Tribolium castaneum: one gene and its partners. The main gene of each other region encodes a partner of the protein of the gene in region 2 in a complex. Links are inferred from orthologs where the notes say so. Each region holds a gene or a part of one and is shown on either strand. Other genes may lie near its edges. The genes, in order: eIF3g1, eIF3h and eIF3m.

What was found.
Region 1: eIF3h (region 2) and eIF3g1 share a complex: the UniProt entries of both Caenorhabditis elegans proteins name them as parts of the eukaryotic translation initiation factor 3 (eIF-3) complex. The link is inferred for Tribolium castaneum from reciprocal best matches to the Caenorhabditis elegans genes eif-3.H and eif-3.G.
Region 3: eIF3h (region 2) and eIF3m share a complex: the UniProt entries of both Caenorhabditis elegans proteins name them as parts of the eukaryotic translation initiation factor 3 (eIF-3) complex. The link is inferred for Tribolium castaneum from reciprocal best matches to the Caenorhabditis elegans genes eif-3.H and cif-1.

What each region holds. Positions count from the first base shown.
Region 1 is NC_087395.1:17,787,988-17,790,817, forward strand, and holds eIF3g1 (eukaryotic translation initiation factor 3 subunit G), read left to right. Parts: upstream 1-1,166; 5' UTR 1,167-1,283; coding exon 1,284-2,129; 3' UTR 2,130-2,178; downstream 2,179-2,830. UniProt on the Caenorhabditis elegans protein: RNA-binding component of the eukaryotic translation initiation factor 3 (eIF-3) complex, which is involved in protein synthesis of a specialized repertoire of mRNAs and, together with other initiation factors, stimulates binding of mRNA and methionyl-tRNAi to the 40S ribosome.
Region 2 is NC_087398.1:6,460,935-6,464,241, forward strand, and holds eIF3h (eukaryotic translation initiation factor 3 subunit H), read right to left. Parts: upstream 1,829-3,307; 5' UTR 1,679-1,828; coding exon 1,601-1,678; intron 1,505-1,600; coding exon 566-1,504; 3' UTR 523-565; downstream 1-522. Other genes in the region: SelT (thioredoxin reductase-like selenoprotein T homolog CG3887), read left to right, coding at 1,972-2,126, 2,173-2,302, 2,349-2,672; vkg (collagen alpha-2(IV) chain), read right to left, coding at 3,266-3,307. UniProt on the Caenorhabditis elegans protein: Component of the eukaryotic translation initiation factor 3 (eIF-3) complex, which is involved in protein synthesis of a specialized repertoire of mRNAs and, together with other initiation factors, stimulates binding of mRNA and methionyl-tRNAi to the 40S ribosome.
Region 3 is NC_087400.1:753,721-757,080, forward strand, and holds eIF3m (eukaryotic translation initiation factor 3 subunit M), read right to left. Parts: upstream 2,005-3,360; 5' UTR 1,875-2,004; coding exon 1,830-1,874; intron 1,773-1,829; coding exon 1,593-1,772; intron 1,548-1,592; coding exon 618-1,547; 3' UTR 575-617; downstream 1-574. Other genes in the region: CysRS (cysteine--tRNA ligase, cytoplasmic), read right to left, coding at 1-242; Sec15 (exocyst complex component 6), read right to left, coding at 2,076-2,202, 2,248-2,434, 2,482-2,623, 2,668-2,905, 2,949-3,140, 3,191-3,360. UniProt on the Caenorhabditis elegans protein: Component of the eukaryotic translation initiation factor 3 (eIF-3) complex, which is involved in protein synthesis of a specialized repertoire of mRNAs and, together with other initiation factors, stimulates binding of mRNA and methionyl-tRNAi to the 40S ribosome.

The DNA of each region.
Region 1 (2,830 bases), on a different chromosome or scaffold from region 2:
CATATGTTTTTTTAAATAGAACACCCTATATTTTTTTGCACTTTTATATAATTTATAATAATTTTCAAAGAGGACTAGATTTTTTTTTGATTTTTTTTTCAGTTTTAAAAATTATTTTCAGAATTAGATAAAGCAGTGACCGCATTTTAAAAAACTTTCTCGCCTACAGCCCGAGTAAAAGAATGTATCCTGGAAATCAGTTTAAAAAATGTGCTGTAGAACACTGTGGAATGTGACCAAAATTCGACTCTTTTTAGCTCCCTTTATTATAGTTTGGAACACATTTCTTTGGCAACCCATTGAATACATCCTTTGGATATTATGTTTGATAAAAAATAAGTTTCATCCAGTAAGCAGATCGGTCCAGGACGACCTTAGCTGGGATCCTCTATTAGCAAAATCAAATTTTTTAAAATCACGTTGCTCAATTTTTACATATTTCTCTGAATGGACGAAAATTTAATTAGATCTAATTTAGCATTCCCTTTATACATAATCGTATTTTTATTGGATTTCAGAGACATTTCAAGTTATTTTAACTCAATTTCTCTTTTTTATCTAAGGCGGCGCAGAATGTTTCTTCTCTAGAAGGCTGTGAAAGATTTTTTCTAAAGCAACAGAATCGTAGCCGTAGCCTTCTAGAAGGATACCTAAATTTTCACAAATGTCTCAATTGGCGACAATACATTTATAAATAATAAGCTGCATTTCTGCACATCATCAGAAGCAACATGAACCAAAATATCAACTATTTTAATGTAGGTATACTTACGGCGTTACACAGTTGCGACAGAAAGTTTCACAAGCAAAAAAACTTTATTATAGCCAATAAACGGATGCAAATTTAACACTCCCGACACAAATTTAACTAATTTAAGAATGCAAAACATTAACTATTGGCAAAAGAACGCAAAACACAAGTCACACATTTTCTGTGTACAAAATCTAGTAGTTGATGGTTTTCAAAGCCACCTTTCCGAATAAGTTTCCCAATTTTAAAATTTCATTACAGAATCCTGTAATTATGTGTTTGTGGGTTTGTAACACGACAGCCCCGTTTGTCGGGGTTTATTTATTAATCGGTTTATTAAATAAATTTTAAAATACATGGCTTTATTAAATATCAACAAAATTAAATTGTATTGCAAAAAACAAAAATAAATAATTTGCAACGAAATTCCCCAAAGGTTGGCGAGTCTGTTGTTTGACAGTTTGAGGTTAACTTTTGTGAACGTGATTGTCGCACCATATTTTCCAAAAAAACGTTTCAAAATTAGCTAAAAATGCCTGTTGCCGAAGAGGTCAAGTCCAGCTGGGCTGACGAGGTGGAGTTGGAGGGCGGGTCGCTCCCGCCCCCGACCGAGGTGTACGAAAACGGCTTCAAGATCGTGACCGAATACGCGTACAACGAAGACGACAAAAAAATGAAAATCGTGCGGACCTACAAGATCGAGAAGCGCGTCGTTTCAAAATCGATCGCTTTCCGCAAGACTTGGAAGAAATTCGGCGAGTGTGCCAACGACAAGCCTGGCCCGAACCCGGCCACCACGATCGTCGCCGAGGACGTGTACATGCAGTACATCACGAGCAAGGAGGAGGACAACAAGCAGGAAGACGACGCTTTGGAGAAGCTGAAGGCTCTGGGCGACAAGAACGTGGTCAAGTGCCGCACCTGCAGCGGGGACCACTGGACCTCCAAGTGCCCCTGGAAGGACACCATGCTGGCCGGGGGCAAAGTGCCCGACGACAAGAAGGGCCCGGCGGTTCCGTCAGGGTCGGATGCGGGCAAGGCCGGGGGGTCCAAGTACATTCCGCCGAGTTTGCGAGATGGGGCCGTCAGGAAGTCCGATAATCTCAATATGGCGCGCAGAGACGACGCCACGGCGATTCGAATCACCAATCTTAGTGAATCTACCACTGAGACTGATTTGGAGGATCTGGTGAAGCCGTTTGGCCCGATCCAGAAGTTGTATTTGGCGAAAGACAAACAAGCCGGTTATTGCAAAGGATTCGCTTATATTCATTTCAAGTTTAAGAACGACGCTGCTAAAGCCATTTCTATGCTTAATGGACACGGTTATGATCATCTTATACTCACGGTGGATTGGTCTAAGCCACACCCTAATTGAAATGTATTTTATAAGTTTTATTTGTATTGAATAAAAATGCTTTAGCTAATGTTGCGTTTTTTCAAACCTACAATACAACAAAATACGTAGACATTTCAGTTTTAAATAATTCGAACAGAGGTGAAGATTGGTACAGGTCTTAGGTACACTATTAAAATAAAATATAGAAAATTCTCAAGTGTTGAAACTATCAGCTCTTAGCATTTTTCGCGTAAACGGTAGGTAAACATTACGGTAACTTCTCGGAAAAATAAAAAATCCCAAGCAATTGAGTTTTTTTAACTCGAGAGGTTTGTAAAGGCATACAATACCTGATAGAACTTTGCTAAAGCTAGTTAATTGTTTTGTTTTTTTTGAAAAGGTAAAAAATCTTAGACAATAGTTTAAGAAGTCTGCAAAATATTAACTATTGCTGGCTAATTTAGCAAATAAATAAGGTTGGTTTTTGGTTATAAACTAACCAATAAAAATAAAATAAAAGGTTAATAAACTAACTAAAAGATTTATTAACCAATCAAAGAACCTTCTGGTTATTTAATATTAATAAGTAATAACTTGACTGGACAATAATTAAAATGCGAATATAGGATTTTCCTTTTATTTTTTTTTCGATTTTGCTTTTTAAACTTACGTTTATTTGTGTCAAAACAAATACTAAAGCAATTGTTTATATAGTAGCGGTTTAAAAGTTTTAATCCGCA
Region 2 (3,307 bases):
GAATTTTTTCAAATGAATTAATCAACATTTTTATACTCATGACACGATTTTTCTTATTGATTGAACTGCTAATAGCGTAATACGAAACGATTTATTGTGATTGATTATCTAGTCTTGTTTTGTTGTTGTTTTTCGTGTGTTGTTTGTTATTGGTTTGTATGAGTTTGAGAAAGTTGCACAAAAAAGTGTGTACATTTTGGCCAGTTTGTGCAATAGAAATGTAAATAAATAAAATTCATTTCTTTAGGTTCGTAAGACTGTAATGACTAAATTGATGTTTAGGGCAATTGAATACATTATTTTTTAAAAGCTGTGTCCTTTATTTCAATCAAAAAACAACAAAATCAACATAAACGATGAAAAGGTTGCGAATATGACTTTCTCCACTGTTGGTTTAGTACCATTTTTTAAGGGGATGATTAAACGTTCAAACGTAGAAATTTCACAGAAGAGACGCCACCACAAAACCTACTGACTGCGCCAATTAAGCTTTATTACGCCTGGTTTAAATAAAACCCAAACTCATTGTATATTATTTTATTGTAAAACAACGTAACAAAACAGTTCAAGGATTAGAATTCGCCTCCTTGGCGTTCTGCAACGCTTGCGTAATATACAACTTAGCCAAACTCTGCGAGCACAACTGGGAAATGGCCTGACTATACGTATTAATCTGTCCCGCGATAATCATCGGGTTCAGCCTCGGGGGCACCGGATGTGGCCTAAACAGCTTATTAATGTCCTCTTCGGGCAATGGGGGCTCGTCTTTCGCGGCCCTAGCCGCATTTTCCTGCGCCCTCTTTTGCAAATATCTGTGTTTGTCTTGCTGTTGCCGGCTGACCAACTGTTGGTATCTATTAAACTTGATCGCTTCTTGGTTGAGTTCGTCAACTCGGTCCATGAGGCAGCGCAATTGCCCCTCGAGGACGGAGGCGGTTCCCAAATCTAAAAATTTCGAGCCTTCTTCTTCCGGGACAAGTTCTTGCAATTCGGACATCATGATGTTGGTCAAGGCGGAGTTTTTAATAACGAAGGGGACCTCGATGAAGAGGTTCTCGTATCCGACTTTGAGCTTCAAGAGGGCCTCGGGCGTGAATTCGCCCTCCTTGTACATCTCAATGGCTTGAGGCGTCAAACGGTAGGCTTTAAGTGTGAGGAACCCGCGCGAGGATTTTTGAGTGTCGTAAATCACAACGACGGATTCCTCGATTGAGGTTTGGTAGTGGAATTGCGATTCGAGAAGAGGGAGGCTGAGGAAGTTCCCGACGTCGGCGCTTTGGTACCACCCCACATGGAAGTGGTCGACGTTGACGCGTCGCAGGCGCCGCATCATCGCTAGCTGGTACTCGTCCTCGTCCATTGTCTCGTCGGTTTGTTTCGGGAATGGGAAACAATTCGTGATTTCCAGCCGGTTTTCAACGACAAGGCCGAGAAGGGCCCCCTGGGCTATGTCCATGTTAGTGGTCGATTCCTCATGGCAGTGTTTTACGATCTTCATGACGGCCTGAAAGAGGTTAGGTTCCGTATGTTAGGTATTAATTACTAACTGAGGTAGCCAAAGTGTGACTTTTGGGTTTAAATAAACTGAAGGGATATTTACCAAGCCGTCGGCTTGCACGTAAGCAATCGTCGAGTCATTTTCAGGCACACGCCTCGAAGCAGCCCCACGAGACGCCATTTTAAACTGCCAAAAATACCTGCCAATGTAGCGCAAACAAAAACTCCACAATTGCTACAAAAACACAATTTTCGTAAAAATTGCCAGCCGATAATGGCCTTATTTAACGATTACGTTGTTTGTTACCAAATTTTGTAGCAGCTAACACAATCTCGTGTTTTTTGGACGTGAAATAATTATTATATTAGTGTTTTAGGCTGATCTAGTCGGTGTCTAAATTCCCCTACGTTTCCACCAGTCCCACCTGTCATTGGAAATTTATCAGCTGACGAGAGCATTAGAAAGCAAAATAAATGGCTGGTTTAAGACAAATATCATGTTTTTGGTATTTAGTGGTGTTTGCGGGGCTGTGTTTTCTCGAATCAAACGGTAACGTAGCAGCTGAAGACGTCCTCCCGTCGAAGCTAAGTCAAAATGTTGGGGCCCCAACCTTAAAATTTTTGTATTGGTATGTTCCCCTAGCCCCAATATCATAATCTAATTATTTAATTTAGTTATTCGTGTGGTTACCGGAAAACGTTCGAGCAGTACGTAAAAATCGTTGGGGACAAATACCCTTTTATAGCCGTTGATGGCCAAAATTACGACCCCCCAGGCTTGAACATGTATTTGGCCAGACTTATTGTAAGTATGATATAATGAGTGAAAGTTGATGATTATGCGTTTTCAGGGCATCGTTAAAATGGTGATAATCGTGTGTATTTTGGGGGCTATTAACATATTTGAATACATTAACCAACCACAGCCTTCATGGTGGATTTGGTGCACAGAAAACAAGCTTTATGCTTGCATGATGCTGTTCTTTGTGTGTAATATTATCGAAGGACAGTTGATTCAATCGGGGGCTTTTGAAATCTCACTGAATGACGTTCCTGTTTGGTCCAAACTGGAGACGGGCAGGATACCACAACCTGCAGAGCTTTTCCAAATCATCGATAATCATATGCAGTTCACTGACAGCAAAATTGAACTGAGCAACGGATTCCCGAAGTAAAGTTACTATAAATTTCGAAAATGATTGTTTTGTTATCAGATTGTTCTTTTTTAAATTTGTTGTGAGTCTGGTAGTGTCATTCTATAATTTTTTGTCTGGTCACTATCACACAGCGTTCAGTATGTTTGAATGTATGATTTATAAATAACTAGATTTGTGATAAGTAAAAGTTGTACATAAAGAAATTGTCTTCTTATTTGATACCTAATAAAACCCAAAAACTCATCGTTTTTATGATTTATTCATTTGTTACATTACAAAATCATTTGGCAGTGTTTAATAGAAAGGCACATAAAATATGAATCACATTTTCCTGTCGTAAGCCTTAAAACTAATTAGCACCTTTGAGATAAAAAAGATCAAAAACAAGCAAGAATTCAAGTATTAAAAAAATAAATTCTATACAAAGAGCCACTGTCGTAATCGCTTAAATAAAATTAAGAACCTAAATCCTTACAAGTAAAAAATATTCTAATAGGATTTGTGTTTGAACACGGCGTACGTTCCTTCTCAAGGACAAATGTTAACATCAAATCTATGTTACAATTAATTTACACATAATTACAAAGTTAATAACTGTTATGGCACGTCGATCACGGCGTATTTTGCGGTCTCCTGTGTCTCAATCTCTGCCT
Region 3 (3,360 bases), on a different chromosome or scaffold from region 2:
AAAATATCATAACCGAAATAATCGGCAAGGACGCGCCTCAAAATATCAAAAGTTATGTACGATCTGGCGTGCCCCATGTGCGAGGCGTCGTAAACAGTCGGCCCGCAACTGTACCAAGTCACTTTTTTGCCCGAAATCGGCCTAAACACCTCCTTCTGACGCGTCAGACTATTGAACACTTTCAGGACCGGACCGCCAGACGCCTCCGGCGCCGACCACGGGGGCTGCACACGTTTCGACATAACCTAACTCCAACCACCAAATTTGCAATTATTTAACACACCAACACCAAAACGCACTCTTCGGTGTTATCTAGCGGAAATTAAACTGTGATTGCATCAGAAGAAGGCACGGAATTCCCACAAAATCGGAATCAGCGGCCACAACACCACACAGTGCTGCCAACATGAAACGGCACCGGCGGCTCTTGACCCCGATTGGGGGCAAGGAACGTGCGACACGTGGCGGGTGAAACCCCCACATTAAATTATGGGGCGCAATAATGTAATTTTCGTAGTTTAAGCAGCAAATTTAGTTAGTTACTTGACGTGGTATTAAAATAAAAATCCCCAACTAGTTCCAAAATTTTTATTCTTAAATTAATCGCTACAAAACAATTATTGTTGGTTCAACATTTCGAGCTGTGCCGCTGTGACGTTCTTCATCCCTTCCTGGACCATGCTGAGGTTGCTTTTCCACGAGTGGAGCAAATCCCTCAATTGTTGCCACTGGGCGCGCCCAAAAGTCCTATGCATGGTGCTTGAGACGTAGACTTTCCGAGCGGCTTGGTCCATGCGGGCCCTCACCAGTTTAGTCTTCAAGACTTCGATAATAAACGCCTCGACCTCCTCAGCCTTGATCTGCAACTCTCTCTCAATCACGTCAAAACTGATCTCCGGGTTGGTCTCAGCGAGTTGCATGAAGGACAACAACCGCATCTTTTGCATGTTCTTCTCGTGGTTCAACCCCTGCGACGTGACAAACTCCTTGTGTTCTTGGTAGAATTTCAAATACGTTGCCAAATTTTCGCTGACAAAGATATTAAGCAAGTCGTGGATTAGCTCCCCTTCGAGAAATTTGACCGGCTTTAGGGCCAGTAAGGGGTCGAGGAGGAAGGTGTTGGGGTCCCCCAGGGCCGAGACGATGCACTTGATCGCGTCCTCGCGGGCATGCGAGGCGTTCTTATCGGTGTAGGTCCCCAAAAGTTCGATCATGACCTTGGCAGCCTGCTCACTGTGGTTGCTCTTTAGCAGCACCTGGTGCAACAACCGGTACAGAATCTGCAACTGCTCGCTTGTCGGTGGACACGGGGCGAACTGTTGCTTCAAATGCTCGATATCCTGGAACACCGACTTGACCTGGTCCGTTTTCTCCGCAATTAAAATCAAGTGGTAGTAGACGTGGTAGCGCATGGGGGACGTCTCGTCAAGCGACTGGAACAGCAGCCACAAGGCGCGCAGGCACACCAGCCCCAGTTTGGGGCCCTGAGCCTTGAGCAGCTTCTGGCAAAAGGCCAGGATGATGTTCTCGGACCGGTCGGCCGGGATCTAAAACACGTCCAATACCACGCGCAAATGATTCGAGACACTTACAAGCACCATGATTGAGACAATGTCGTTGAGCACCATCTCAACTTCGGGCTCCTGGCCCTCCTTGAAACAGGCCTCGCATACGCCGATTATTTTGTGTAGGTCGTCTTCGATGCCCTTGACTGATTTTTCCTCCGAAATTTCAGCGCCTAAACTTTTTAAGTAAATGCGGAGCTCTTGCGCCTAAAACATAACCTCAAAGTGTCATATGGACACAAAATGCCACAAATGGGCGCCTACCTGGTCCTCGGGACTCACGTCGATAAAGACAGGGGGCACTTGCATTTTTCTACAGTTAGTTCACGGTTTTTTGCAATTTTTAACTGTTTTAAGGGGAAAAACCACACCGCAAATTTGATGGTTATGTTGGCAATGCGCATGCGCAAACGCCAAGTTGTTACTTTTTTAAATTTGGTGGCCAAGTTGGCCACAAAAATTAAAACACCGAATAATTAATAAAATTTATTATTTAATTCAACAAGTCGGTTATTTGTTGGGCGTTATTTGGGTCAGCTGTCTCAGTTGTTTTAGGACCGTTTCCAGTAACTTCTTCTTGTCTCTTTCGTTCTTTTTCAATACTGTGAACATAGTTTTCTTATCGCCTTCTTTCAATCTACAAGAATCAATTAACTTGTGGTTTAATAACCCGATTTGTTACTTTTCGAGCAATACTATCGCATCATCTGGATTGACTTGCTTATATTTGCTGGTTTCTTGCCCATAGTCGTGGAAATAAGTGGGCCAGTCCCATGACGTGAACAGGTCTAAAGTCTCCCGTAGTTTGGTAAAATACGACAAGAGGACGTCCTCTTGTAGGCCTTTGACGGGCTCAGAGGCCGCAAATTCTGTAAAACTTGTTTAAATTTCCGGTTATCATTTTTCGATTAATTACGTTCACACTGTAGTAAATCTAAATTGATTTGGTTTAAGGCCCCCATGGAAATTTGCTTGATCTCGTCATTCATCAACAGTTGAAACATCGAATTGGCAATGTGTTCACACGCCGACTTACACGCAACTTGCGCCACCTCCGGCTACAAATCACTCGATAAAAAATCAACAAAACCAATCAACAAACCGGTAAATTGGTGAAACTCTGAAACGTCGTCTGGAGGAAAGCAATCAAATCGGAGATGTAACTAGAGGCGTGTCCTGACGGCTCACCCAACAGCCAATCATAACTCTCCAATTCGTAAAACTCGTTCAATTTTTGGCGCAATTTTTCGCAAATTTGGCGCACGGCGTCTTCACGAGCCACGCGGAACATGGCTGGTTGGCCTTGGACCACTCCCGTGGACACCCCTCGAGACTCCTCCCTAAATGTTTTGTTTTTATTGGCGGATTAATTTTGTGCCCTACCCTGTAATATTTGAAATAAACTGGTCCAAGTAGACCGTGGCTTCCTCCAAATAGCCCGTATCGATGATTATTTGGATAATTTCCTGAAGATTGATGTGCGGGCTACGAAACGTTGACGACAAACAACCGCTAAACGTCCGCGTCAGGAGCAAATTCATCGACTTGCGGATCATTTCGTCGACTTCCACTTGACTACAATTCAGTCACAGCCCACTTCGATTGGAATTATTCAACAACCAAACCTTAAATTCAAATCCTCGGAGAATTTCAAACACGCGTAAATAAACTCCTTGACTTGTTGGTAGACCTTGGGCACCATCCCCGAAAAGGGGAACTTGTGCGGGAAAACCACATCGTTGGGCAAGTCCTCGTCCCATGGAAACGACGACAAAATATGCTCATACTCCTCGAG